Linked DNA regions of Alligator mississippiensis. The protein of the gene in region 1 binds, or shares a complex with, the protein of each later gene. Links are inferred from orthologs where the notes say so. Each region holds a gene or a part of one and is shown in the gene's direction. Other genes may lie near its edges.

Region 1 (7,640 bases):
AGCATGTCCCTCGCAGTCCCAGCACAGCTGCCAGCAGTGCATCTGAGTCTGCAGCACGGGAAGGTCCATGTGACATGAGAGCTTGGCCTGGGGAGAGCCCCATGGCCCTAGCCCCTGCACATTGCACCCATGGCCTAGCACCGCCCTGGGGCCTCCTGTATAACAACTGAGCTGGACCCCTTGGTGTTGTAAGGGTCCCTGGCACTGTATGAGCCCAGAGGTGCTTGGGGGGTGGCAGGGTGTGGGGGCAGGTGAGGCTACTCACTGGTCATGGGTCCCGGCCCAGTCTCCCTGCTGCACTGTCCCTGCTCCCACCTGTCCCTACAGCTACTGTGACTACTACCGGCCCCGCTTCTTCCTGCTGGAGAATGTGCGCAACTTTGTTTCCTTCAAGCGCTCCATGGTGCTCAAGCTCACGCTACGCTGCCTCGTGCGCATGGGCTACCAGTGCACCTTCGGCGTGCTGCAGGTAGGAGTCTGGGGCCTGAGCAGCACTGGCAGGGCTCCATGAGGCTGCCCTGGGTAGAGGCTCTGTCAGGTTCGAGGCCCTTCTGCTTGGGGCGTAGGCTTGGGTGGAGATGTCATGTGTCCACTCAGGCACCTGCTTCCCTAGGGGGTGAGTGGGTGTGATGTGTAGGGGTGGAAGAGCCCAATGCCCTGCTGGAGCTGGCTCTGGATGCCCCCTCCCCACAGGCCGGCCAGTATGGTGTGGCCCAGACGCGCCGGAGAGCCATTGTCTTGGCTGCGGCCCCCGGAGAGAAGCTGCCTATGTTCCCTGAGCCACTGCATGTGTTTGCGCCCCGTGCCTGCCAGCTCAGTGTTGTGGTGGATGACAAGAAGTTTGTGAGCAATATCACCAGGTGAATGTGGGTAGCCATGGGGGCGGGTGGAGTGGGATGGGGCCCATGGAACCAGTGCAGATGCTCCTGATTTCCCTGGATATCCAGGGAAGGGCATGGCAGGTCCATAGCATGGCACCTTCCCCAAGTCAGAGTTGTGGGGCTGAGGGCAGTTAGGCCATGACTGGTTGCCTGACTGGCCCCTCAACCCCTCCGCCACAGGACGTACTCTGGCCCCTTCCGCACCATCACGGTCCGGGACACCATGTCTGACCTGCCCGAGATCAGGAACGGGGCCTCAGCACTAGAGATCTCATACAATGGGGAGCCCCAGTCCTGGTTCCAGCGGCAGATCCGGGGCTCTCAATATCAGCCCATCCTCAGGGACCACATCTGCAAGGTGAGGACTTTTTGGGTAGCTGTGGTTGTGGGGCAGTGTCTGGGGGTCACTCAGACCAGAAGCCCTGTGTGGGATGGTGCTGGGCAGCTAGTGTCAGGCTGCAGGGAGGTAACGGGGCTCGAACTCGCTGCTGCAGGACATGAGTGCACTGGTAGCAGCTCGAATGAGGCACATCCCCCTGGCACCTGGCTCAGACTGGCGTGACCTGCCCAACATCGAGGTACGGCTGTCGGACGGCACCAGCACCCGCAAGCTGCGCTACACGCACCACGAGAGGAAGAATGGGCGCAGCAGCACCGGCGCACTGCGGGGTGTCTGCTCCTGTGCCGAAGGTACTGGGGGTGGGCAAAAAGCAGACGGGGCTCTGGCCCCATGCCCATCTTGGCTTAGGGGCAGGTGCAGGAGGCCTATCTTGGCTTAGAGGCTGCTTGGCAGGGACAAGGGCTACTCCCTGGTTTTCTGCAGGTGTCTGTGCCCTCTGCCTTAGGTAGCCCAACCCAAGTATGTGCTGCTTTTCCACCTCCCAGGGAAGCCTTGTGACTCTGCGGACCGGCAGTTCAACACGCTCATCCCTTGGTGTCTGCCCCACACGGGCAACAGGCACAATCACTGGGCCGGGCTGTATGGGCGCCTTGAGTGGGATGGCTTCTTCAGCACCACGGTCACCAACCCCGAACCCATGGGCAAGCAGGTGCGTATGGTGGTACCTGGGCAAGCAAGGGTGGGAGAGACGGATGTAGTCCCTGTGGGGCTGAGAATTGCCCTTCCATGGCCCATGAATGCAGCAGGAGGCCTCCAGGCCTTGGCCCTTGCCCTGGGGTGACCACAGGGCAATTTGCACAGGGGCAGGTGCTGCTGGGCAAGGTGCAGTACCTCTCCTCCACAGCCCTGGCTCCAGGGCTGCCTGCCTTGTGGCTGACCCCTGTCTCCCATCCCCCCACAGGGCCGTGTGCTACACCCTGAGCAGCACCGCGTGGTGAGCGTGCGGGAGTGTGCACGGTCCCAGGGCTTTCCTGACACCTACAGACTGTTCGGGAACATCCTTGACAAGCACAGACAGGTGGGTGCCTCAGATTCTCCCTCCCCACGGTGTTGTGCCCCTGCCCCCTGCAAAGGTTGTCAGGGACACAGTTGCCGAGTGGCTACTGACACTAGGACAGCTGAGCTGCTGCTGCAGCAGCCTCAGGCACCAGAACTGCAGGCAGGGCAGGGTGTGGGTGAGCTCACAGTCCCACATTCCTCTTTACAGGTTGGTAATGCAGTGCCTCCACCACTAGCCAAGGCCATCGGACTGGAGATCAAGATGTGCCGGTTGGCCAAGATGAAAGAGGAAGCCATGGGTACATGCAGCACTGGGTTGAGGGGGAACACCCCTGGGCTTGGGTGGGTGGCCCCCGGGCTTGGGTGGGTGGCCATAAAACTTTGCAGCTGCTGTCCATGTTCTCTGAGGGCAGGACTGTAGCTTCCAGGTCTGCCCACAAAATTACAGGTCCCTTAGAAGCCCCAGACCAGAGGAAAGACTTTTCAAACTCCAGGCTTGAGGGGTTAGGGGGGCTGGCTGGCACCAGAGCCAGTCCCTGGTGGTGGCCATGCCCAGGCCTCACCTGCTGCCTCACTGGCCTGACCTCTTTCCACAGAGAGCAGCAAAGTGGAGAAGATGGAAATTGCGGACTGACACTTGCCCTCCCATCTCCTTCTCCAGCTCCAGGACTCCCAAACATGCACTGATTTTTGTTTCGTTTTGTTCTGTTCCTTGTTTTGGTCCGACATGCTGAGTCTGTTGTTCAGCTGTACCCGTGAGCAGTGTTCGTCTCCCCGGCCAAGCTCAAGGGCTGTCTGTGACAGTTGCGTTCTCAACTAATCATCATTTTAGTGATCAGCTGTGCAGTGCCCCCCCCGCCCCGCCTCCTGTGCATTCTGGATTTAAAGGATGATGTTTTTATTATGCCTTGTATTGAAAATAATCGACCACTTTATACAAGTGGAAATTAATACTTTATGTAGTTTTTATATGTTGTAATATTTCTTCAAATAAATCTCTCCTATAAATTACATGCTGGGGAGAGCTCTCTTCTTCTCTCCCCCCCTGGTTTTTCTCAGCATCTCCCAGCCCTGTGGAGGAGGCTGGGGCCTGACTCCAAGTTGGGGGGCAATGCTGGCTCTAGGCTGTGCTGCTGAAGACAGCTTCTGGGCTACAACCTCCTTTCTGGCCATAGTGGGTGCCATGGAGCTGCTAGCAGAAGGGATGTTCCTCCAGCTCTTGCAGGGTGCAGGGCAAAACCACCCCCAAGTCTCTATAAGAACATAACTGCTGTTTACTGGGTCAGACCACAGGTCCATCTTACCCAGTATCCTGTCATACAGCAAGCAAAGGCTGGAAGGTGGGGGTGAGCAGGTCTGACCAGGGTCTTTTTCCACTGTTGCTTTCTTGTAGCCTCCAGCATTAAGGTCCAGGAAGGTCTGATTCAGAGGCTGTGCCAGTTGCTCTTGGGTTCAATAGCGATCAATGCCCCTTTCCTCCAAGGATATCGCCCCTTGTGAAGCTCAGCTAAACTGTCAGCTTCTGCTGCATGTGTTGGCAACAAGTCCCACCCTTTCATGACATGTTGGGTGGAAAAGTACTTGTTAGTTTTAAACTTGCAAGCGGCTCGTTTCGCATTGTGACCCCTTGTTTCTGTCTGCTGAAGATGATCCCAGTACACCCCCCCCCCCCCCCAAGTGAGCAGGCCTAGCCTCCTGAGTCTGCCCTCACAACGCAGTCCCTCCAGACCTCTCATGCTTACTGCCCTTCTATCTCGTATTTGAGGTGCTGGGACAAGAACTGAGTGCACAGTGAACTTACGCAGGGATCCGATGACACTTCCCGTTCTAGGCACGATGCCCTCTTTCAGAACCCCTTAAAAAATCCTCTGCAGGGGTCAGGACTTGCCTGCACCTCGGGGTGGTTCCAGCTGTTGCCCCGGGCCTGGCTCTAGCTCTGCCCTGGGCTGCAGTTGCCTCCTGAGGTTCCCAGTAGCCCCGGCTCCTGGTTTGTGCTGGCTGGGCCCTGAGCCTGCCCCCACCCCCCTTTAACCCTTTCGTGCCGTGGAAAATAACATTCACGTGGGCTGAAGCTGGGGCGGAACCTGGCCTGACCACGAGGCCTGCCAACGCGCGGGGGAGAGAACTACAGCTCCCAGTATGCAGCGTGGCCCGGGTGCGGTGCTCCAGTTCCCAGAATGCATTGCGACCCCGGGGTCGGATGCTAGTAAGCGTGAGATCCTTCAGGACTACACTTCCCAGAGCGCACTGCGAGAATCCGGCAGTTCCTGCAGGCCCCTCAGCTCCCAAGGCTGCCGCGGTGATTCCTCCCCTATCTCCTTCCGGCCTCTCTAGGAGCGTGGGCAGTGCTCGCTGGTGAGGCCCTTCTGCTTCCGGTTTGTGGCGCGAGGCGTTCGGCGGCGGCTATTGCTGCTGCTGCTGCACAGGGCGCGCGATGCCGACGGGAGACTACGAGTGAGACGGGCGGGGTGCGGGCTGGGCCCGGGGTCCGGGGTTGGGCCTGGGGCGGAAATGAGGGAGGGGCTGGGGGTTGAGGGAGATGTGGGGGGTGCGGTGGCCTAGTATGGGGTGGGAGCGGGGAGGCCGGAGGATCGTGTCCGCGCGGCTCTAACTCTCGCTCCCGCAGCTCGAAGCCTAGCTGGGCCGACCAAGTGGAGGAGGAGGGAGGCGACGACGGTGAGAGGCTGCACCCGGGCTGGACTCCCCTCCCTTTCCCCCCGCACATTCTCCTCCCCCCGGCGCGGACCCCCCCACGGGGCTGTGGGCCGACTCCACCTCCCCCTCCCCCAGCAGACACCTTCGGTCATTGGGATCCCCGGCTCCTTTGCATCTGGCCTCGCAGTCTCCTAGTGCTGGTCAGGTTCCAGCCTAGCCCAAGGGCCCGTGTGTTGCTCTAAGGCCCATCGAGGAAGCTGGGTGCCTGCCCCTGCCCTGGCTCATGGCCCGTCCCTGTGACAGGGCAAGAACCCTTGCCCCCACAACACACAGCCCCCACCCCAGGCCCCTTATCTGATCTGGTGGTGGTCCCACAGTACAGGTGACCTGCTGGGGGGTGATAATCCCCTCCCCTCAGACCCACTCTCTGCTTCCCTCCAACTTATTTCCTGGGCAGCCTGCATTTTTGTAGCTTGTTGAGACCTGGGGGGGTAGGGGGGGTAGATCCTGTTACTAGGGCACCCCAAGCCCCACAGAGCTAAGAGTTCCTGTTATTGCAGTGGCACCCTGTAGGATCTCCAGGGATGGGGCATGAGCACACCTGGCGCTGGGTAGCATTGTGGCACCCTGGCCCTAGCCCATAAGAGTTCCCTGTTCCTTCCCCCAATAAGTGACTGACTAGCAAGGTCTAGCCCTGCTCCTCTTCCCCAGACAAATGCATCACCAGCGAGCTGCTCAAGGACATCCCCCTCACTGCGGTGCTGGGTGGGGACCTGGGTGCCAGTGTTGCTGAGGCAGAGGCCAAGGCCGAGTCAGAGCTGCTGAAAGATGGTAAGAGCCAGGCTGGCTGAGGAGTGGGGATTGGGCACTGCCCCAGGGAGCCCCATGGATCCAGTCATCTCACTGCCTGCCCTGTCCCCTTAGGTCCTCTTCCATCCCCAAAGGAGCTAATCAATGGGAACATCAAAACTATCACTGAGTACCGTGAGGAGGAGGATGGGCGCAAGGTGAAGGTGAGTGCTGGAGGGGTTAGGCTGGGGCTGTCTTGGGGACTTTTTCCCTGGCTGGGGCAAGATTCCCCCAGCCTGAGCCATGAGGGGCATGTTAGAAAGTGTGTGATGGGTCGTGGCCCTTGTGTCCACTGCTCCTGTATCCTGCATGTGGGGGCAGTCATGCTGGTGGGGCACTCCCTGTGTCCTTGGGGTGAATGCTACCCCCCTCATTTCTCATATGGTGAGTGATGGGGTCTTTCTCCCTCAGATCATCCGTACCTTCCGTATTGAGACTAGGAAGGCTTCTAAGGCCGTGGCCCGCCGCAAGGTGAGTGGGCTCCTTGCTGGGGCAAGAGGGGTTAAAATGGAGGGGGTGGGCATTGGAGGGTTGGAATGAGACGGGACTGGGCCTTTCACATACCCAAGCTGCTTGTCCTGCCTTGCTCCCTTTTCCCTCCCACATCTGTCCATGTCCATTTCCTCCCTTTTTGGTGGCATCTCTGCCCCCACGCCCAGGGCTGCTTCTGGTTTGGGTTGAGCCTGTTACATTTAACAGATGCCACCAGGGGGCACTTCTGCCCAGTCTCCCAGTTAGCTGGGTGGGATGAGGTGGAAGGATTTCCCAGCTTGACACCTCCCCTGCCTGCCTCTCCCAGAACTGGAAGAAGTTTGGCAACTCAGAATTTGATGCGCCTGGCCCCAGCATCGCCACAACAACTGTGAGCGACGATGTCTTCATGACTTTCATCACTAGCAAGGAGGTGAGTAAGGGTTGGGGTGGGGTCCTAGGGCAGGGGGAGGGACCATGGGCATCCAGCTGCTCTGGTGGGGGCTTGGGAGCTCCCTGCAGAGGAGTAGTTCCAATGCTGATTCCCCCACGCCTGCTGCAGGACCTGAACTGCCAAGAGGAGGAAGACCCCATGAACAAGCTGAAGGGCCAGAAGATTGTATCATGCCGCATCTGCAAGGGCGACCATTGGACCACACGTTGCCCCTACAAAGACACACTGGGGCCTATGCAGAAGGAACTGGCTGAGCAGCTGGGGCTGTCCACTGGCGAGAAGGAGAAGCTGCCTGGAGGTTTGGGGGTGGGGGCAGTGGGGTTTAGGGGTTCGGGTCCCAGAGGCTCTGGGCTCTTCTAACTTTGCTTCCCTGCCCTTGTAGAGCCAGAGCCAGTGCAGGCAGCACAGAGCAAGACGGGGAAGTATGTCCCACCCAGCCTGAGGGATGGGGCCTGCCGCCGTGGGGAGTCCATGCAACCCAACCGCAGGGGTAAGTCCTGGTAATCAGACCTATGGGCCCCTCCTGGCCCTGACTCGGATGCCTGGGTCCTGCTTCCTGCCTCGGTTTGAGCTCCATCCTGGCAGTTCTTTGCCCAGCAGGGAAACTCTGTCCTGGGGGCTCATTCCCATCGCCTGGGCCTGGCCCTGACTCTCCTCTCTTTGCAGCTGATGACAATGCCACCATCCGTGTCACTAACCTGTCTGAAGACACACGCGAGACGGATCTGCAGGAGCTGTTCCGCCCTTTCGGCTCCATTTCCAGGATCTATCTGGCTAAGGACAAGGCCACTGGGCAGTCCAAGGTGCAGCAAGAGGCCCTCTGGGGTGGTAGGGAAGGGCTTGGCTCAGTTCAGCTCTAACCATGGGCTTTTCACCCAGGGCTTTGCCTTCATCAGCTTCCACCGGCGGGAGGATGCCGCCCGTGCCATTG
Region 2 (7,239 bases), on another chromosome or scaffold:
CTGAATCAGAACTTCCTGGACTTTATAAATGCTGGAGGCTGCAAGTAGGAGAGGAACAGGGGATAAACTGAGGTCATACCCCGTACACTCTCCCTTTCAAGCATCCACTTTCTGCGATGGTGGGACACAGGATACTAGGCAAGATGGACCTATGATCTGACTCAATACAGGAGACCCTTGCCATTTGTGGGGGATATGTTCTTGAACATCTATGTTAATGAACACAGTACCCACGCGGCTGGTGGGGGGCATGGCTGCACTGATGGTGGCAGCAAGTGTGGAGCTCCCGAGGAGCTCCTTTAAGTGTATTTAAGATGCGGGTTCGGCATTCACGAATATTTGAACCCACAAATAGCAAGGGTTTCCTGTAAATGGTAGTTCTCATGTTCATTCGTTGGCAAATTCAACAGAAAATAACATTCCCACATGTAGTTGCAATACATTCACATCTCTCAGCATTGTTGCCTGAATGCTATCAAGAAAAAAATAAGCAGTCTTGGTAAACTCGGATGGAACAAATTAAGTGACCAGGTACTGTGTCGAATCTCTCAAGAGACCATAAACAATGGCACGTTGATGACCAGAACATTACAAAAAGCCAGGGTCCCTCTCATCCTTATCTATTTGTCTTTAAGCAGGGAATGTGGAGGAGAGAAAGGAGGATCTCAGGAAAGGCTGTTGGTCTGACCGAGGATACGAGAACAGCATGACAAAACAGCATAAAAAGAGTTACGGACTTGCATCAAGCAATGGGCTTCTGTGTCGGGGCAGTAGAACTCATTTTTTTTAGACTGGAGGCACCCCGTGGAAAATGCCAACTTGGTTTTCACTCAATTTTTTACTACAGTAAAGTAGAAGAGCAATCATGTTGCAAAAAACTGAGGGAGACTGCAACAGGCCCAAACATTTCTAACCCTCAGCATTCCTGTGGGAAACCTTTGGGTCAACCTGAGATGCCTAATGGTACCAGGGGTGCACGGCATCCTACAGCACCCCTGAAAGGATTTCTTGGCACCCCAAGGTGCTGCAGCAGCACCTACAGGACAATCACTGTTGGAGTCAGGCAGCGGCTGTGGGGCATCTGGGAAAGACGCTAGAGGTAAAGGAGGGCTGGCTGGTGCCTTTATTGTGCTAGGACAGTGAGATGGACTTTTCCACGCAACCCCATCGCCTGCTGGCACAGGTAATCCAGGCACCACCAGTCCAGAGGGCTGCAGGCAGGGGGAGGAGGGCCTGCGCCTAGGGGGAACTGAAAGCCCCCAGCGCAGCCTTGCCTGCAGCACCCCTGGGGTGCTTAGCTCACTCAGCCCATGGTGCATTGTGGGATGCTGGAGGAGCCACGAGGCATTGTGGGATGCCATCAGAGCTAAGCCATGCAGGGCACCACCCAGCGCCAGTGTTGCCAACTCTCATGATTGTTGGCGTTGTTCTTAAAGCCGACACTTTGGGAATTTGACAACCTTAGCTCCTTCTTTTACTTATATCTCTTTCTCAAGCTCAAAGGGAAGTAATCCCTACATGAATCAAAGGGGACAAGAGGGCACAAAGGTCCCCATGGCTCACCAAAAGCATCCGGGAACATCTCCGAACAAAAAAGGAGCCGTACACCCGTTGGAAGGGAGGGGCCATCACAAGAGAGGGCTATACCTCAGTAGCTCAGGAATGTAGGGGGGGCGGTCAGGAAGGCCAAGACGGAAATGGAGCTGGTACTAGCAACCCAGATGAAGGACAACAAGTTCATCACGGGGGCACAGAAGGGAATTGGTGAGGTTTTATTCACCAAGGCGCCCCCAGGGGTTACAAGAAATAATGGCCACAAGCTAGCAGAGAGCAGATTTAGACTAGGCATTAGGAAGAACTTCTTCACAGTTAGAGTGGCCAAGGTCTGGAACGGGCTCCCAAGGGAGGTGGTGCTCTCCCCTACCCTGGGGGTCTTCAAGAGGAGGTTGGATATGCATCTAGCTGGGATCATCTAGACCCAGCACTCTTTCCTGCCTATGTAGGGGGTCGGACTCGATGATCTATTGAGGTCCCTTCTGACCCTAACATCTATGAATCTATGAAAGTCCTTTTTCAAATACATAGGGGGGCAAAAGAAGGTGCCAAGCAATGTGGGGCCTCTGCAGGACACGCTAGGAAATCTGGTCATCTCACCTGACGGTAAAGCTGACATATTCAACAATCTCTTTGCCTCTGTATTTCTGAGAAGGGACCCAGATATCTCCCCCACTGGCCCCCCCCAAGGGCCCTGTGGGTGGCACACCTAGGCCTAGGGTTAATGAGGACCTTGTCAGGGAACTTCTGGAGGGACTAGATGTATTTAAATCTGCAGGTCCTGATGATCTCCACCCCAGAGTGCTGAAGGAACTAGTAGGGGTCATTGCGGGACCTCTGGCACAGCTCTACGAGTACTCATGGCGCTCGGGCGATGTGCCAGAGGACTGGAAAAGGGCCAATGTGGTACCCATCTTCAAAAAAGGGAGGAAGGAGGACCCAGGAAACTATAGGCCCATGAGTCTTACCTCGGTCCTGGGGAAGCTTTTCAAATGAATTATCCTGGCACATGTCCAAGAAGGGCCAGCAGGGGAAGTTATACTCAGGGGCAACCAGCATGGGTTCATTAGGGGCAGGTCTTGTCAAACCAACCTGGTGGCCTTCTATGACCAGGTCACCAAGTCCTTGGATGCAGGTGTCACAGTGGATATAGTCTTTCTGGACTTCAGGAAGGCCTTCAACACAGTCTCTCACCCCATTCTCAGTGAGAAACTAGGAGACAGTGGTGTTGATGCCTACATGGTCAGATGGGTCATTAACTGGCTGGAGGGCTGCACCCAGAGAGTGGTGGTGGACGGGTCTTATTCGACCTGGAGGGATGTGGGCAGTGGGGTTCCCCAGGGCTTGGTCCTCGGGCCCGCACTATTCAACATCTTCATCAGTGACTTGGGCGAGGGGGTAGAAAGCACCCTGTTCAAGTTTGCAGATGACACTAACATGTGGGGTGAAGTGGGTACGCTAGTAGGAAGGAACAGGCTGCAAGCAGATCTAGACAGGTTCCAGGGGTGGGCTGTTGAGAACAGGATGGGGTTCAACTCTGACAAGTGCAGGGTAATACACCTGGGGAGGAAGAACCAGTGGCACACCTAGAGGCTGGGGAACTCCCTTCTTGCCAGTGTTGAGACAGAGAAGGATCTTGGAGTCATCATTGATGCCACAATGAACGTGGGGGGACGCAGTCAGGAAGGCCAACCATACCTTGTTGTGCATCCACAGATGCATCTCAAGCAGGGCCAAGGAGGTGATCCTCCCTCTCTATGCGACACTGGTCAGGCCGCAGTTGGAGTACTGCATCCAGTTCTGGGCGCCGCACTTCAGGAGGGATGTGGACAACATGTAGAGGGTCCAGAGGAGGGCCACCCGCGTGACCAGGGGGCAGCAGGACAGGCCCTACGAGGAGAGGCTACGGGACCTGAACCTGTTCAGCCTCCACAAGAGAAGGCTGAGGGGGGATCTAGCAGCAGTCTACAAACTAGTCGAGGGGGACCAGCAGGCATTGGGGGAGTCCTTGTTCCCCCCAGCACTCCTGGGAGTTGCAAGAAACAACCGACACAAGCTAGGGGAGGGTAGTTTCAGGCTAGACATTAGAAGGCGTTATTTCACTGTCAGGGCAGCTAGGACCTGGAACCAACTTCCAAGAGAAGTGGTGCTGGCTCCTACCCTGGGGGTCTTTAAGAGGAGGCTGGATGAACATCTGGCTGGGGTCGTTTGACCCCAGTGCTCTTCCCTGCCATGTCAGGGGGTCGGACTAGATGATCTCTTCAGGTCCCTTCTGACTCTACCTATGAAACTATATCAATTTTATCATTCTCATTCATACATATATATAAATATAATATATATTATTATATATCATATTTTAGCGCTATATACGTATACATGAAAGAGCTAAGATTTTCAAATTCCCAAAGGATCGACTTTTAGAATAACACTAAAAATCATGAGCGTTGGCAACACTACAGCACATTCTGTGATAACCGAGGAGTGGGGGGGGAAGCAAAGCCTTGTGGGAAGGTGGATGACGAACCTGTTCCTACCCCGCCCCCAGTAGTTTCCGGCTCGAATGCGCAGGCGATGCCGCTTGCGACACTTCCGGACGTGCTTTGCGGCATCCCATACCTTTTGCAACAGCCGGGCGGCCGGCGTAGAGCGATGACGTACCAGGGGCGCGACGCGGGGCGGGGCTGCACGCGGGTTCTCTTCCTGGTAGCAGCCAGGGCCCGGGTCCGCCGCGTCCGCATCCGCTTCCATCCGGGCTGGCGCGCGCCGCGCAGGTGAGCGGAGTCGCGCGGGGGCTGCGGCCGGGACGGGCCCGCCCCGGGGGCCCCGCATCCGCGGCCCTCTCGCCTGGCCCCAGGCTGCGGTGCAGGCCCCCTCCTCCCCGCGCGCTGCCCGGCCTGGCCCGCGGGAGCCGGGGGACATGGGGCAGAAAAAGTCCCGGGAGGCTCCGGTGGGTGTCCCTCGGCCGCAGGAAGGGCTGCCCATACCTGACCGTCGCCTGGGGCTGTCGCTGCAGCTTTCCCGGGCGCGGGCCAAAGCAGGCCAGGAGGCTCGTGTGGGGCCTGTCAGTCCCCGGCTGGTGGTGTTGTCAAGGAGCCAGAGACCATCCTGAGCAACCCATAGTGTGCAGCGAGGCTAATCCTGGCCAGCTGCCTCTGCGAGGTTGGGCTTGTTAAAAGAAAAATGATGGGATGTTGGAGTGTGCCCAGGGAGGGTCTGTGGGCTGGGTCGGGCATCATGTGCAGAGTGCTCTCAGTGCCCACTGTGGGGCAGTGACCAGTGCAAGCAGGGCCTGGTAGGGTGTGCCCTATATGTGGTGCTCCACCAGACCAGCCTTGTGTGTTCGCTCCAAGGCCAGCCAGGCTGGCGGCGCACACTGGAACTGACACACAGGGTGGCCTGGCGGGTGCCTGCTGCATGCAGTGCCCCACCAGACAGCCTTGAGCACAGGCATAATGTGCAGCTTGCGGCCCAGACTGATCACCCCATGCCATGATCATCCACAGTACTGGGTGCAGTGTGCACACCAGACCAGCTCCACATGCAGCATGAAGGGCCAGTCTAAGACCCACAGGCCATAGGTTTGCCACCCTGACTTTTGGCGTCCACTACTTGCTTTTTTGAGTGGTATGGTGTCATCACCTAGTCCAGCGGTTCTGAACCTTTTTCATTTGACATACCCTGTGGTCTCAGAGTGAGACTTCATGTACCCCCTTTCAGTGGGAAATTAATTTTTCGCCCTATGTTACACAGTGTATGCAATATATCTCATGTACCCCCTGATGAGGCTTCACGTAATCTCTGGTGGTATATGTACCCCCAGTTCAGAACTGCTGACCTAGTCATTATGGGCATTTGTACACATGCTTGCACACACTGGTACTGCAGTGCGTGCATTTGTATAAATGGCGAAATGTGCATCAGTGCTGAGAAAATGGTGGTGGTGCACCTTTGAACTAAAGCACATCAAAAGTGTTCTAGTTCAAAAGCGCACCACTGCCACTTTCTCTGCATGCACTGCCACTTATACAACCACACGCGATGCAGCACTGTGCATGTCAGCTCGTGTGGAGCAGAAATAGTCTTACTCTGACATACTGGGTCTCTCGTGCTTCACAATGCAAAAAAGTATGGTATAAATGCCTTATCAGTTGAAGTTTCCCAGCAGCCTCATTTTCAGTCTTGTAAAACTAAAATACTCCTGACACTTGACTGTTCGTTCCACTTTTTTTTTTCCCAAGGATTTTAGAAGATGGCCAAATTTGTGACACCCGTGATCCAGGACAACCCCTCAGGTTGGGGTCCATGTGCTGTGCCTGAACAGTTCCGAGACATGCCGTATCAGCCCTTCAGCAAAGGAGATCGTCTGGGAAAGGTACCGCAGCTTATTGTCAGATTGAGTCACTGAAGCGGTCAGTTAAGGCAGTTCTTTCCTGCTGCCATTCTAACCCTTGTCTGGGCCGTGCACTTTTCCATATAAAGCTTCTCCTCATGCAGCTCTACACACTCCTTACCCACTGTTGTAAGTGTACCAACTTTGCAGCGCTCCTGCTAGGACATCTGTGAACTCTTGACAGTATTTGCAGGCAGCACAGGGAGTTTGAAGGAACTGATAGTTGAGGTGAATGTGCAGCAGGCTCTGAGCATGAAGTTCTAGTTCTGCGTGTTCTCACTGAGTGGCACCTATATTAAGAGACCCTAGTGTCCTGTGTGTGGGAGGTGTGGTTGATACCATCACTACTCTTGTTTCTGTTTTTCTTTTTGATTAGGTTGCAGACTGGACAGGAGCGACGTATCAGGACAAGCGATACACAAGTAAGTTCTGAGTTCGGTAGCTGTTCCTCTCTGAGATACTTCATATATGGTGGGTTTTTTGGGGAGGTTCCTCCTCTCCCCCCCCCCCACACTTCCCCACTGTCATCCCTGTTGCCACCATCATTACTTGTTCCAGTGGTATATAGGAAACCTGTATTCTGCATCTGTCCCCTAGTGCGAGAAGTGTCTTGATCTCAGAGCAAATGTTCATAGCTCCCTCAGTATGGCATTTTTCAGAGAAGTCAGGAGGGTGTGCTTCTCTAAATGAAAAGTTCCAGGTCAGGTCTCAAATTGGGACAAGCATTTGGCAGGGGGATAGAAGCTCTGACTTTCCCAGAAGAATACTTTGCAGACAGACAAAAGCTGATCTTGCATCACGTTTTTTTCTCCCTAGATAAGTATTCATCACAGTTTGGTGGGGGAAGCCAGTATGCATATTTCCATGAGGAAGATGAGACGAGCTTCCAGCTGGTGGACACTGCGCGGACACAGAAAACACCATACCAAAGGAATCGTATGCGGTTTGCACAGGTAACGGTGCCTGTTCACTGGACCCTTTTGGAAGAGGAATGGAGTTGCTGTAAAGATTGCATTTATAACTTGAATGTCTTTTTCCTCCTCAATATTCTCAGAGGAACCTTCGGAGAGACAAGGACCGTCGGAATATGCTTCAATTCAACATGCAGACGCTGCCTAAAAGTGCCAAGCAGAAGGAGAGGTGAGGGCCTCAAACACAAACATTCCCTGACTGTAGCAGAGCTTCTAGTTGCACTACTTGGCTGCTGTCAGTTGAATTACACCACAGCTCAATAGGCCTAATAGGTAACAAAAAAGTTCTCCAAGCCTTTAAACCCCACATGTTTGGCTGAG
Region 3 (6,840 bases), on another chromosome or scaffold:
TTGGCATATTTTCACACAGTGAGCACGTAGGATATTTCAACACTGACATACCTTGTAGTATTCTATCATGAATCTCTCTGGGTCATCTACATGCAGCTGTAGGAGTTTCTACTGGATGCAGCCCAGCCATTTCACTTTAAATCTTGAAATTAAAAATCATGTAATTCATAAGTTTATCAGAAGTGTTGAATAGTGAGTGCTGAATGTTTAGGAAAAAGGTTGCCTTCACCCTTCCTTTTTCAGGTTAGCTGATTTTCAACAATGATTGTTAGTGCCTCTCAATTTGATGCCTGGTTTGATGTCACATATGTTAAGCACAGTGACCTGGTATTTTCATGCTATGAATCCTGACATTTTAGTTGTTCATCAGGTATGCCTTTCTAATATTTTTTAGAGGGTGGAAACCACCCCTTTGCAACAGTTTATTGTCTTTTCTTTTCTTTTGTTGCCTGGTACCCATGCAGCTGCAGAAATTAACTGGAAGTAATAAGGATCTGCATTTTATAAGGCAATCATCTAGTTTCAGAATGGATAAACTATAAGGTCAAATGCCAAGTAATTTATCATAATGAAAAAAAATTCAGGAAGATAGATACTCCTCCAATACATAAAACATTTTTATTATAAACATAACTTCCTTCCTTTCTTCTTGCTTCAGTACCTCCCTTTCTAAACTCCATGTCTGCTTTTCATTATTGTTATATTAATGTTTGGGAAGCTATTTATTGTGATATCCGAGTCCCTTTATAATGGTTACATTAAGTCATTAATGGACCCAGTAGATCTACTGTGATCTCCTGCTGCCACAGTCTTTTAATTTAGTCAGCCAGATATGAACATTTGTAATTTAGAGACACTCCTTTACTTAGAAGACTACTGAAGTTGGACATTGGGAAATTGTCCCTTAGTTATGCTAGTTAGTGAGAGAGAGAGACAAAGGGTCTGTAGAGGTTGCTCATTGCTCCACAATTAAATGTTGTTGTTAGTTCTTTGAACCCAAAGATCACTACATATATTACATAATCTTTTAACTAGTTGGGATAGCTTTGGCATAACTCTTTATAAATGAGGTTCAGGCAGAAGCACTTTTCCAGAAAAAGCAAGCTCCACAGTTATAGGCCTAACAAAAAGAATGTTCTGACTTTTCAGCATCCAGGAGCATGGTATCTTTAGCGTACCGAGCTGCAATCAAGCATAAGTTACAGTCATTTGGAGATAGTGGGGTAGGCATAAAAGTGACCTAGATGTAGTCTAGGTAGGACTTTTTAAGAAGTAAATGGTACCCTGAATTTCAGAAGCAGAGTGTGAGTATGCTGTGCTTATGTTGTTTCACTGCAACCAGGAGGACAGTCTAGATTAGCTACCAAGTGGCTTTCACAGATTTTCCTCAATAGAGTCCAATGCAACAGGCCAGATAAATGGTCATAAGGATGTTGTGGATAATCAAGGAGGAATAATTATGTTACAGGCAGTACAGAAATTCCTTGATAAGCTGAAGGTGGAAAATATTGTTCTGATGGAGGATGTAACCTTCAAGGCTAGAAGCTGTAAGAAGTGCAATAGTAAGTTTCTCAAGTTGTTGCCCATTGTAGAAATGACTGGGCAGACACCACGAATTGATGGACTATTTATAGAAGTCAATAGATCCTCAAGGGTTTTTTTGTCAGTTGTATCTTTTATTGGATTGACTTCATGATTGGGAAAGACTTAGATAAGCTCTTGAATGTGAAACATTCTTTGAAAGTTTGTCTAAGTCTGTCCCAACCATGAAGCTAGTCCAATAAAAGATATCACCCACAAAAACCCTTGCTTCTTGCATAATTCATAATTCCTGGACCATCATGGCTACAATATCACTCCTATAAACCCCCAAAGCTCTTTGTCCCTACCAGTTAGAATTGCTTCTCATGTTAGTTTTGATAGACAAGGATTTTTCTGCGATGTCTTTTTTTGGACCAGCTTTTTTTGGACCAGCTGTATAGTTGGGAGAGCTGTTGGACAAACTTTTGGGCACTTCAGGTTAGTTTTAATGTGATTTTTATTCAGTTTCCAATTTCCACCAGGCGCTGGGCAGAACAGGCTATATAGTAGCATCTGGATCAGAACTGGAAGAGACGGCAAGCTTGGTGTTACCTATGTAGTGATATCACCACAGCTCATGTTGCCTCATAACAAGTAGGAATTAATAATGTAGGATGCCAAAGTCATAATCACAAAGGAATGAGTGAAACTTCTCTAAGGTATGTCTATCCTACTGGATCATGCAAGCATATTACAAAGTTGTTGAAAGTTGCTGGTAGCCGTGTTGCACTTCGCTGGGTCTGCTTACATTCCCTGGTTCACACCTTCTTGAAATCAATCTGAAATCTATATTATTCCCCATCACCCCATAGACTTGGAGGATTAGGGGTAGAATGATTTTAATTTCCCAGTGTCTCAATTTAGCAATGGGGGACAGCTCTCTGTCTGCTTCCCTTTGTATGTCATCAGCAAAGGACCCCTGGGCTCTGCTTCATCATTCTCTTACCCTCTTTCTGACTGGAGAGGCTGGGACTATAAAGAACTGGGTACACAAGAGCCATCAGCAGTGCCCAATAAGAAGTCCTATGGTTATATACATCTAAAAAGCTATGCTGCACATTTGAATGCTACCGACTAGCACCTTATCAATTAACTATTAATACCCGCACAGATATCTGGATAAATCCCTATTTCTAATGTATAAAAGGGAAAAATTACATTAAAATCTAAAAATCTGCTACAAAAATGAAACTTCATTCACATCACATGCACCGTAACAATGTATTTTTCCTGTCACTGGCACTGAAAGTCTCCTTGATGGAACCCATGATAGGCATGCTACCATGGGTCCCTCTGTAAGTCAACTCAAGATCACACAGGATGTCAGTGGCAAGACAGGGAATTGAACCAGTCTTGCAGGTTTCAGGCCAGGACCTTTACCAATTGGCCATCCTTCTTCCCTAACATGACATTTAAGGTTTTTTACATTACTTGGAGATGATGATACCTCTGTCAGGAAGTCAAGCATGATGGGAAAGGCTATGACAGCAGTTCAACTCAAGTACAGAAGGTTTACGAATGTCATTATTTATTTTGTAACTTGCTATAGCTTGGATATTATTTTTTGTTAGATGCTTAAAAGGGAACTCCATTCTCCCCACTCCCAGCCCCCTGGCAGCAAGATTGGCTGCGGGGAGACCACCCCTGGTCAGAGGGACTGGTTGCAGGTGGGGCACGTGCCCCCCTCCCCCCAAAGTGGCACCAGTCGCCCATGGTTGGCAACTCTCTTCTGGGAGCAAGGATGTTCCCGCCTAGCGTGGTCAGCTCTTAAATATGAAATGATCCTATTTGCTGAAAAACTATCGTAGGCTGAAAAAAATAGGCAAGCAAGTAGGCACGGAAGTCTTTTTTCACTTTATTTCGTTCACTACAAGTAGCCAGTGAGTGCGGGAGGCCTGGGTCAGCCAACTCGAAGCATTTCACGCGGGATGACCGTACAGATCCCGCCCGAGCCGCCGAGAAGAAGTGCCTGCCACCTCTCCCCCACCCCGCCACGTGCGCGTCCCACTCCAACCTTTGAGCAAAGCAGAGCAGAGGGAGGCTAAGGGCAGCACAAGCCACGCCCCTTTGCCCTCAGGCGCCCGCCTGCGCATGCTCGCCCCTGGCCCCGCCTCCTAGCTGGCGCCGGGCACCCGTGTACGCACGCGCGCCCCTGGCCCCGCCCCCTAGCTGGCGCCAGGCACCCGTGTGCGCACGCGCGCTCCTGGCCGCTTCCTGACGGCGCGTCTCTGCGTCACGCGCCGGCGCTTCCGCCCCTTTCCCCTCGCAAGATGGCGGAGTACGACTTGACCACCCGCATCGCGCACTTCTTGGACCGGCACCTGGTCTTCCCGCTGCTCGAGTTCCTGTCCGTGAAGGAGGTGAGATGGCGGCGCGGGAGCCCGGGGCCAGCCCGTCACCCCGCATACGCGGCGCGGCCCGCGGGGCAGCCGGGAAAGGCAGCGGAGGCCGCGGGGCCTCGTGGGTGTTGGGCCGGGGGGGGAGGGGTGATTCCCGCCCCTTCTTCCCCAGGCGCCTGCGGCCGTTTGCAGTAAACCCGGAGCGCGGCTGCCGCCCAACCCTGGGAAGGCCACGTCCTCCGCGGGCCCTGCCATTTGTTTCCAGCTGCTTGTGGGAGCCTGGCCCTGCTTCCCTTCCGCCGCGCGGCCCCCGGGGGGCCTGTCGCTCCTGGCAGGCTCTTCTACAGATGCGGTGATCCGGGATACAGACTTCTCCATCGCGGGAGTGTGGGGTGCATTAGACACACAGCCACTGCATGGCTGTAAGCCCGTGGCCCTCAGGCCACAGGTGCTGGGGCACACTAGGGTGCTGATGCCTCTTTTTGGGGGGGTTCCCTGAGGTGTGAGGTGATAAGCAGATGAATAAACCCAGGCTCAGGCTTGTCCTTGCCTGGATGATCCTCTTGCCAGGACCCTTGGCAAGGAAGTGATGGGGGTAATCGGTACCCTTGTTTTTGCAGTTGGGTGCCAGTCAGTTCACAAGTGTTATGTTGAGTTCAAAAAGCTTGAGAGCCGGTTGCTGTCAGTAAAGCTGCCGTACACCCGGTGACTGGGCAGTCAGCTCCGTTTAACTTCTTGTTGTGTTTAAATTGTCGATTTAAAGATTGCAAAGTTTACTGGTCTCCATACAACTTCCCTAGATGGTCTCATTGACTCGTCAGCTCTTTTGAGTGTATTATATTATTATATATTCTTATTGGGCAGGTCTTAACCTACTCGTGCTAGTCCTTGAATGGTGGTTTCTTTACTTTTATGGAAGTCCCCATCTTCTGAATGACTATAGCCAAAAATGCCTTTACTTCCAAATTAAAATTAGTTCACTATTTTCCTTGTTGGACTCCTCAAAATGTTCAGTGTTTTGGCCTGTTGGTACTTACCGAGGGCAAATTATCAGACCAGATATAATTTTAAAGGCTATCTAGCCCAATATTCTTTGTTAAACAGACTTGTCATCATTTAACTGTACTGAGTACTGCATATAACATTACATCTTCAACAAAGAAGGTAATAATGAGCCAAATTATACACTCCTACTAGCGGTAAAGTAGTTGAGGGCTGTTTTGGGAAGTGCAGGGTAATGCACCTGGGGATAAATAACCTCAACTATACGTACACAATACTGGTTTCTGTACTAGTTGTTGTGAGTCGGAAAGGAGACTCTGGAGTCCTTGTAGATGGTTCTTCAAAAATGCTAGCTTAGTGTGTAGCAGCAACAAAAAACCCAATAAAAGGTTGGACATTATTAAGGAAGGTATTAAAAAAAAAAATGGAGAACACATTCATCACAGCACACTATTCATACAAATCCATAGTGCACCCAGTTTTTGAATACTATACAGTTTTGGTCTTTGTATCTCAAAAAGGATGTAGTAGAATTAGCAAAGGTACAAAGAAGATCAACCAAAATGATCAGAGGTATGCAGCAGTTGCTTTACCAGGAGAGATTAAGAAGGCTAGGACTCTTCAGTTTGGTGAGGAGAGGGTATGATAGAGGTTAATAAAATCATGAAAGGGCCGGATCAAGTTAACAGGGAACTATTGTTCACCAAGTCCCAGAATACTACAACTAGGGGGCACCCACTGAAACTAGTAGAAGACAGATTTAAAATTACCAAGAGAAAGTATTTACACAACAAGTAGTTAACTTGCTGAAATTCATTGCTACAGGTGTTAGAGATGGATGGCATGATAAGAGAAGTGAGGGGGGATTTGATAGCAGCCTTTAACTGCCTGAAGGGAGGTTTAAAAGAGGATGAAGCTAGGCTATTCTCAGTGGTGACATGTGACAGAACAAGGAGCAATGGTCTCAAGTCACAGCAAGGGAGGTTTAGGCTGGATATTAAGAAAAACTTTCTCACAAGGAGGGTGGTGAATCACTGGAACAGGTTCCCTAGAGAGGTGGTGGAGTCTCCATCCTTGAAGAATTTAAAGACTGGGCTTGATGAAGCCCTGGCTGGAATAATCTAGTTGGGGGTGGTCCTGCTTTGAGCAGGGGGTTGGACTAGATGACCTCCTGAGGTCCCTTCCAACCCTAATTTTCCATGATTCTATGAAATGCATGGATGATAGATCTAGTAACAGCTTTGAGCAGAAGAATTGGAGGTGTTTCCTTTGGCATCTCTAAACCAATAATGGTGTGTCAGGGAATGTAATAGATAGAGAACAAATTATTGTACATCTGACCAATTCAATGTTCTTCCTCTAGCTTCCACTTTTGTCACTGTTGGAGACAGGCCTTTTTGTTATGCCCAGAGGAATGTTGACCTAGGCCCACCAAGGGAACTATAAGCCTCCCTTAATCAGGGAACAGTTGATTACTTGGGACAACTAAAGAAAATACAGGGACATCAGTGTGGGTCAGGTTTATGAGTAATCCACTGGGGGACACCAAGTAAGCATGCTGGCCAGCACCTACTGACCCTCAAGTCCAGGGAGCCAGCGGACTCTACCCAGTGAAACTGCCTGGAGACATGGATGGTAAGGGATAAGAAGACAATCCCAAAGTCACTTGGGTTCCCCCCAGCCAGAGACTTCTTCCTGATCTGTTACATGGCTAGCTTAGCTAGAGCCAGGAGCAGGTTGATCAGGAGGCCCTGGGACTTGGTGGGGCCATTGATGGGAAGTGCATAAAAGAAAAGTTTAGAGGTGCACTGATACTTTGGTCCCATATTGGATTGGCACTGGCCGTCGGCTTTTTTTGGCTGATGTGGTCAATAATTCCACCAATAAATGCCTCGTGCACGTGCAGCCGCAGTGCAGC
Region 4 (7,544 bases), on another chromosome or scaffold:
TGCCCAATCTGGGGACAGGTTCAAGTACCATGTCTGAAACTAAGTGCCTTGACTATAAGGGTTTTGGAACATGAACAATAAGTCAGGTCCTTGTTCTTTGAACACAAACACTTGTCTCCCTTCTCTCTAAAATGTTTGATTTGAGGGAGGAGGTGGAAATGTTGGGCCTACAGTTATAAGCTTCAGTAGTCAAGGAATTGGTCTGTCTGAACTGGGATTTTTATTTTATTTTTACTGTAAATAATAGTTCTAAGTCTTCTTTACTGAAATGTCTGCCAGGAAATGTTCTCCATATTATAGATCCTGTGTTTAAAATGATTTTGTGGCTCTTTTGTGCTCAGGCCTGGTTAATTTCTACCGCTGCATTTGACTGTTGTTAGATGAGCATTATAACAAATCTAGTCCCAGAAGGCTCATTCTTCTTGTTCTTAAAAAGCGTCAACCTAAATCAAGGAAACCTCTTTATATAAAAATAAATAGCTAGTTTATTAACCCCAGAGTCACCCAAGCAATATATTTCCTTTCCTGATAACACATAAAGGCAGAAAAGCTTTTCCTAGTCTGATGTATCCACTCCTTGGGCTGGAATGGATTGTATTCAGTCCTTAATGCAACTAGTCACAACTAGGAGTTTTGGACACCTGAGGAAGGCGGGACTGAGTGTCTGATGATAAGCACCTTTAGGAAGAGAACTGAAATTATGATGGCTGTAAGAACTGTTGTACTTGAGGTATGTCCACTTTGTTACTGTGTTGTGATCTGACACAAGCCCCTGAGGTAGAATGCCACTGAGAAAATAGCCCGTTACTGCCTTTATGCAACACTGTCTCATGGAGAACAGTTCCACTTGGATGCTGCTGGTACTATTTTCTGAGCTGATGGAGAAAGTCACTCAATATAATGTGATTCATTATCCTTTCACACTATGCTCCCATCAGAGGCCCCCCAACCATCCCTGCAGCTCAGAAATCAGTCAGGGTTCTAATGAAACAGAGGATATTTTTAACAGATAGTCTCACTTCTGACAAGCTCAGGGGACTTAGCAATCGACATTGTGTTGAACGCTGAACAAGACCATCTCACAACCGTTCCTGTCCAAGAGAGCTTCCAGTGCGAGGGAGATGCAAAGAGATGTTCTGAGACAACCCAGGAGGAGTTAAAGCAGGAACCACTGAGTTTATTTCAGTCTTGATGACCCCAAAAATACTCTAAGGTTGCAATTTAACTGAGGGGGAGGCGCGCAGGGCTGAGCTGCAGCTACCTCTGCTAAGTGAACCGGATGGAACATTTTCTCTGTTCCTAAGTCAGTGAGTCATCTAATTAAGAGTTAAAATATTTTGATTTTTTTTTTTTTTAATAAAAACACACTATCTTGTAAGGAGACAACTTGTTAACAGTGAAACCCAGGTGTTGACTCTACACAATAACCTCTTTGTGATTGCCACCCACTTTGCCTGGGTTTTGAAATGCCAGTGCCTCAATTAGTGCAACAGAGTAAATGCAGATTATTTCACAAGCTTCCCACAATGCCAGAGTTCTAGACACCAGGATGGAGGGCTGAAGAAAAGCAAGACACGGCTGTTTACAGAGGTCTCAAAAGCCAAGTATTCTAGGCTTGGTGTCACGGAACAATGAAGACAAAGAGAATCCAGCTAGAAAAGCTCACTTCTCAACAGTCAGCCTCCAAAAGGGCCCAAACCTGGACTGTGCCGCTCAGTGCTGGTTCAGGGAGGGTAGGGTACCAGTTCCCAAATACAAGCATCATCTTCTGCATGTTCTTTTCTTCTCTCTCTCTCTCTCAATATCTCACTGCTTCTCATTCACAGAACCAGCTATACAGAGGGTGACCCCTAAGACAGTGAGCAGCATTCCTACCATGGCCCCTAGGGAAAAGACATGCAAAAGAAAAATTAACTCCTTTGAACTCAGAAAGCTTGGGGACGTTGACTGGGGTGTGCCAATACTCCTGTTGGGACCAAAGCTGGAGGCTCCTGGCCTAAAGGGTCTTGCCTTTCTGCTCAGGGTCAGACCAGTCACCAAATTGGGGTCAGAAAGGAATTTTTCCCCATGGCCAGATAGGTGCAGACTGGGGCAGGGGGTGCATGGGTGATCATGCCTCAGGCAGGGGTTTGACTAGATGAGCCCTGGAGGTCCTTTCCAGCCCTACTTTTCTATGATTTTATGATAAACTTCAGGACAAGTCCATCAGGTCATGTCCTCAGAGTCCGAGATGTTCTGGAGATCACAGTGTAAAATCTGGATGGGATCAGACTAAACTAATACCAGATAGGACTTCAGCATTGTTGAAAGCAGATTCTAAGAGAGGCTCCCTCCACTGCTGTGCAGGCATTTTGTCTGTGAGCTGCCTTGCCAGAACTGTGCTATGGAGAGCAAATATGCTGTGGTGAACTGCATCATACTTCTTAGGACAGACAAGAACCCTTTTTCCCAGTCAGGGAGACTGCATTACTGCTGTGCTAGCAACAGCTCTGTTTAAATACAAATGCAGCTGTTGGCATGGGCTTATTGGTAGCTATTAGCAATTTCCAAGCAGTAGCTAATATTCCCAAGCTTGTAGTGTCTTTATGAAGGGAACTGGTCTGCACTGATGTTGCTCTATGGACTCAGATGGGAATAAAGACTCTTCATTGGTGTTTTAGGTGTGCAGGAAACATCCCTTTCTTGTACCAGAGCAATTGTTAGTTCTGTTATACATCCCTTATATCTTATCCCATGAAAGCCCAAACCCGAGGTACTAGGAGCCCTCAACTCCCTGTGACTTGAACTTGGCAGGACAGGACTCCTTCAGTGAAACTCACCTTCCCTCCCCACAATGTGAAGAGTCCAGTTCATCGTAAAGGATGATCATGTTTGCAACTGAGTAGCTTCCTCCCCTGAGAGACCCCCAGAACCATGTTATCTACTGTGGGGTAACACACTACTTCTTAGTGTAGCGATAGCAAGTGACCCATAGCAGAGTTGTCCTGCTTCTGGTTTCAAGTCTCAGTCTGACAACAGTTGCCGAAAATAGCACGGAGCGGTGCTATGCTATCCATGATAGACTAGGATTAGCCAAATCATTGCCCCACAGCTAAGGGAGGGGAGCTCACTAAATCCATCCCCAACCCAGCACACGGTGAATTATTTAACTACCCCTAATGTCCGCTCCTTGGATTATGATTTACCTAGAAGACTGTGCTGAACCAAGCCACTACAAAGATTCAGGGCATGGAGTCAAATGTGTGCAGAGTGCATCTATAAAAGGACTGAGGCGTGACTTACTTTTACCACCGATGTCTTCCCCAAGGACCTTTCCGGTTATTAGGGTGACGATCAGAGCCAGAGAGTTACAGAGAGGAACTGCCAGCGAGAGGTCTGAAATGGAACGGGTAATATTAACGCATTGACCTGGAGCGTAGTAATTACTGGTGTATGTGCCAGGTAAGTCTTTAACAAGGGCGTACACACAGCTTAAACACTAACAATGCTGTAAAACTCACGCTCAGCATTATAACGGACATCCCTGCTGCTGTTGCAATACGCCCAGCCGACCTCTCTCGCCTGGAGCGCCAGCCTGTGCTTTTTGCAAACTCTCTTCCCATCGTCTCAACCCTCCCGCCGCCCTGGAAAGGGGAGAGCAACCACTGACCTGCCGATGCCAATGTGACGTAGTAGAGTACAGATCCACACTGGTTAAATGCAAGTGGCACCATATACTGCAAGGAGAGCACAACGTGTCAAGTCACTACAGAAGAAATGAGGGTAAACACAGGACGGGATCATGTAAGGACGGGCGCCGGGGATCCACGAAAGGGGCGAGAGCCAGTTTGATCTGAAAGGGAGCAGCAGGTCCAGCGTTTCGGTCGCAGGGCCGTGCCGCTGAATCCCTGTCAATGCGATACGTTCCCCTCTGTTTTCCTAGTCAGTAATGGGGGCTCGCGATCGTTTCTGAGGAGAGGGGGGAGTTCACGAAGAGCTGCCACGCGCTGGGAAGTCCTCGGAGGAAACGCAGCGCCCCGCGCGAGCTAAACGAGATGTCACAAAAAATCAAACGGGCGACGCGGCCAGGAAAACGCGCGGTAAAACCTCAGCGCAGGTCGCAGCCATTCAACGCGCGGCCGGGGCCAGCGCCAGCGCCCTACCTTGTAGTTGAGGAGCAGGAATCTCATTTCTGCGAGCAGCTGCAGCAGCCGGGTCTCCCGCTTCACCTTCTCCAGCCCCTCCGTGCCCGTCCTCAGGAAGGGGTTGGTCCCTCCCCACAGAACAGCCACGAGGACGAGCACGGGCACGTCCCCTGCAACGTGACCAGCGACCGCGGCGGGTCAGGGGGGATCCGTGCCCCGCCATACGGATGCCCCCCCTCCAGTGCTTTATTACTGCCCCTCGGCCCCCGCCGCGGAGGGGCAGGTCGGTCACGTCCTCAACGTCGGGCTCTAAGGTGCCCCCGCCCCCCACGCGCCCGGGGTCGTATGTGCCCGAGGGGACCGGAAGCGGGAAGCTTACCCAGCGGGGCCATGGCAACGCCGCCTCTACTTCCGGCCTCCGAGCGCTCTGACCCGGAAGCGGTTGCCGCTCTTCCTCTTCCGCCCTGCGCGCTGGTGTGGGAGCGCCGCCGCCATGGTGGGTGCGCGCGGGGTGTCGGTGTCGGTGTCGGTGTGGGGGAGGGGAGGCGGGCGGGGCTCGGGGCTGACCCGCGCTGTCCCCGCAGAAGCCGATCCTGCTGCAGGGCCACGAGCGCTCCATCACGCAGCTCAAGTACAACCGCGAGGGAGACCTGCTCTTCACCGTCGCCAAGGACCCCGTGAGTGTGTCCGCCCCTCCCCTCCCCCGCCCAAAACGCCGCTCTGCCCAGCCCGGGGCGCTTCATCCCCGCCCGGGACACGTGTATGGTTTCCACCCAACACCAGGCCCCCTCCCTGCCTGCTTCACAGTCGTTGTAACCCGGCATCTCGCGTCTACAGTCCCCGTTCCTCGGTTCCTCCCAGCTGCGATAACCCGCCTCTCGCATTCGTGCGTGCTGCGGCGCGAGCCTCGAGATCCTCCATGCAGTTTCGCATGTGACGCTAAGCGGGGTTCGCGTACCCGGCAACGTCAGGTAAAGCGGACGCTCGGTTTGCTTCTGTCGTTCCTCCAGATTGTCAACGTTTGGTACTCGGTCAACGGAGAGAGGCTCGGCACTTACAACGGTCACACGGGAGCCGTCTGGTGTGTGGATGCGGACTGTATCCTTTGGTTCCCACGGCCTGTCTGGCGTCTTCAGGTTCTTCTCCAGTGCCGTCGTTGGGGTCGGGGGGGGCTACGGTACAAGTGATCCTTGTCCAACCTGGTATCAGACTCTTTCCTTTACTCTCTGCTGGATTTTTCCCCCCTTCCTTTGAAACGGGAAATGGTCTGTGCGCCGTTGTGCCCCAGCCACACTTACCCTTCACCGCTGCAGGATGATACAACGTACTCAGGCTGCTGGTGAAGCTGGGGTTCCTGGAAGATCGTTGCAAAGCGATCTTCTCTTGCCGCTGCAGACGGTAGTTAATAAATGCAAAGCAAAAGCTTGTCTGAATATGAGAGGAGCCTGGTTCTCGTGGCACAAATATCTGGCCGCAGCGTCGTGGAATGAAAGTTACTTAACACGCATGTGTCGCATTCCTGATGCGTGCACTGAAACTCTTACAGTGCTGTGTGCGTGTGTCTGTGTCCTACTCTAATATGTGAATGTTGGCTCCTTTGAGGGGTGGGGAGTAAGGCTTTGTTGACGTTCCTTAACTAATGGTTCAGGGGACACGAGGCATGTGCTTACAGGCTCTGCAGACAACTCCTGCCGGCTCTGGGACTGTGAAACAGGTAAGACAAGCTGTTGGGGAGAGGATCTTTCAAGCCTTTCATCAGAGCACAGCTGAGTCCGTGAGCTGGGGAGCAGCAGGGTAATGTGTTGGCTTCTCACTTCAGCAAAGGCACGTTTCAGTTTGCCTGAGGCCGCTCACGGAAGGGTGTGCTCGTGTTCTGATTCCTGCCCACTAAGAAGTATTTTTGCCCTCTTCACTTTCCACACTGATCTGATTTGATGTCTTCAGCCTGGAATTGGTGCTGAGGTGATGCTTGTGTTGGGGGAACTTGCACTTTATCTCTGACCAGAAGGGTCGGTCCTTGCTTTGTGAGTGTGTAATTCATCCAGCAGCTTAAAAGAAATTCTTTCTTGTGTGCATTTCATGAATGATATTGCAGTAGCTGAAATGGTGTCATCCTTTTTGAGTAAAAGCATTTGGGCGGAGGCCCACAGAGCATGCTTCTCTGACCTGTAGTGAAGCATTAAGGTGCTTGTTTACCAACTTGGGAGACTGCTGCGAGACCCTCTTCAGAGCCCAAAACATCACTTGCTGTGCTAGCTCACTAATCAGTGGGGACTTGAGCAGTGAGAATAGACTGGAACTTGCATTAAACGACTTACAGGTAGTTAAAGCTGCTGACTGCACCCTGTTCTAGTTTCCTGTCTTTGCTTGGTGAATGGTGAAATTAATGGTGTGAAACTCACAATGTGGTGGTCTGGAGCTGTCCACTGAGACTTTGCCCTGTGTCTAGGAAAACAGCTTGCCCTAGTGAAGACCAGCTCCGCTGTGAGAACCTGCGGGTTTGATTTTGGAGGAAACATCATCATGTTCTCCACGGACAAGCAGATGGGATATCAGTGCTTTGTGAGCTTCTTTGACCTGCGGGACTCCAGCCAGATTGGTATGGAGCCTGGGCAGATGCCTTTGTGGGGGTGGGGAGGCTCTGATGGCACCTTCTGTCAGCAGTTCAGTTGGCAGCGTTGTGCCTGAGCCACTCCTTCCTTCCCCAGAGAACGATGAGCCTTACATGAAAATCCCATGCAGCGAGTCGAAAATCACCAGTGCTGTGTGGGGCCCTCTGGGGGAATTCATCATTGCAGGGCACGAGAATGGAGAGTTGAACCAGTTTAGTGCCAAGGTGAGTGTGATGCAGAGCAGGACTGTCTGAGGGCAGGGAAGAGGGCCATATGGTGGGCATCCCACGGCATATGAGCTGGACTTTTGTGAGCCGTGGTGCAGGTGTGGGCAAGGGGCACTGGAGTATGATGGCTGGGGAAAGTATGTGCACCTGGGGTGCTCTGGTGCTGGTGGAGGGTGATCATTAATTTTGCTGTGTCTGGTCCCAGTCAGGGGAGCAGCTCACAAATGTCAAAGAGCACACCAAGCAGATCAACGACATCCAGACCTCACGGGACATGACCATGTTTATCACTGCCTCCAAGGACAACACAGCCAAGGTGAGACCTCTCTTGGCCCACCCAGTGGCTCTAGGACGCTGAGGGAAATGGCCATCTCGACTTCTTTTTCCCTTCCACTGTTTGAGGCTTCTCTCTAGAAACTTGTGGGTAACCATGGACCCAAGCTTCTTTTACACCAAAGCAAATGTCTGCTTAGTGGGAACAGCCCTGTAAGGAGAGGGCTGCCTGGGCTAGATGGACAGGCAGAGGCAATCATGCAGTGGTTTCAGAGCTGAGGTGGAGAGGGGCACTGTGTGCTGCTCTT

What was found.
Region 2: EIF3G (region 1) and EIF3D share a complex: the UniProt entries of both Homo sapiens proteins name them as parts of the eukaryotic translation initiation factor 3 (eIF-3) complex. The link is inferred for Alligator mississippiensis from reciprocal best matches to the Homo sapiens genes EIF3G and EIF3D.
Region 3: EIF3G (region 1) and EIF3E share a complex: the UniProt entries of both Homo sapiens proteins name them as parts of the eukaryotic translation initiation factor 3 (eIF-3) complex. The link is inferred for Alligator mississippiensis from reciprocal best matches to the Homo sapiens genes EIF3G and EIF3E.
Region 4: EIF3G (region 1) and EIF3I share a complex: the UniProt entries of both Homo sapiens proteins name them as parts of the eukaryotic translation initiation factor 3 (eIF-3) complex. The link is inferred for Alligator mississippiensis from reciprocal best matches to the Homo sapiens genes EIF3G and EIF3I.

Annotation. Positions count from the first base shown.
Region 1 is NC_081831.1:22,141,893-22,149,532, reverse strand, and holds the start of EIF3G (eukaryotic translation initiation factor 3 subunit G), read left to right. Parts: upstream 1-4,621; 5' UTR 4,622-4,714; coding exon 4,715-4,734; intron 4,735-4,906; coding exon 4,907-4,956; intron 4,957-5,646; coding exon 5,647-5,766; intron 5,767-5,859; coding exon 5,860-5,948; intron 5,949-6,195; coding exon 6,196-6,255; intron 6,256-6,583; coding exon 6,584-6,688; intron 6,689-6,817; coding exon 6,818-7,007; intron 7,008-7,091; coding exon 7,092-7,199; intron 7,200-7,375; coding exon 7,376-7,512; intron 7,513-7,588; coding exon 7,589-7,640. Other genes in the region: DNMT1 (DNA (cytosine-5)-methyltransferase 1), read left to right, coding at 328-469, 694-860, 1,062-1,239, 1,376-1,571, 1,767-1,930, 2,183-2,299, 2,877-3,014. UniProt on the Homo sapiens protein: RNA-binding component of the eukaryotic translation initiation factor 3 (eIF-3) complex, which is required for several steps in the initiation of protein synthesis.
Region 2 is NC_081827.1:100,926,536-100,933,774, forward strand, and holds the start of EIF3D (eukaryotic translation initiation factor 3 subunit D), read left to right. Parts: upstream 1-4,220; 5' UTR 4,221-4,328; intron 4,329-5,795; 5' UTR 5,796-5,806; coding exon 5,807-5,929; intron 5,930-6,323; coding exon 6,324-6,369; intron 6,370-6,763; coding exon 6,764-6,900; intron 6,901-7,001; coding exon 7,002-7,087; intron 7,088-7,239. UniProt on the Homo sapiens protein: mRNA cap-binding component of the eukaryotic translation initiation factor 3 (eIF-3) complex, a complex required for several steps in the initiation of protein synthesis of a specialized repertoire of mRNAs.
Region 3 is NC_081826.1:32,216,031-32,222,870, forward strand, and holds the start of EIF3E (eukaryotic translation initiation factor 3 subunit E), read left to right. Parts: upstream 1-3,824; 5' UTR 3,825-3,851; coding exon 3,852-3,941; intron 3,942-6,840. UniProt on the Homo sapiens protein: Component of the eukaryotic translation initiation factor 3 (eIF-3) complex, which is required for several steps in the initiation of protein synthesis.
Region 4 is NC_081829.1:5,592,288-5,599,831, forward strand, and holds the start of EIF3I (eukaryotic translation initiation factor 3 subunit I), read left to right. Parts: upstream 1-4,538; 5' UTR 4,539-4,617; coding exon 4,618-4,620; intron 4,621-4,708; coding exon 4,709-4,801; intron 4,802-5,134; coding exon 5,135-5,222; intron 5,223-5,772; coding exon 5,773-5,838; intron 5,839-6,573; coding exon 6,574-6,723; intron 6,724-6,832; coding exon 6,833-6,960; intron 6,961-7,168; coding exon 7,169-7,279; intron 7,280-7,544. Other genes in the region: TMEM234 (transmembrane protein 234), read right to left, coding at 1,807-1,883, 3,283-3,375, 3,650-3,716, 4,143-4,294, 4,504-4,516. UniProt on the Homo sapiens protein: Component of the eukaryotic translation initiation factor 3 (eIF-3) complex, which is required for several steps in the initiation of protein synthesis.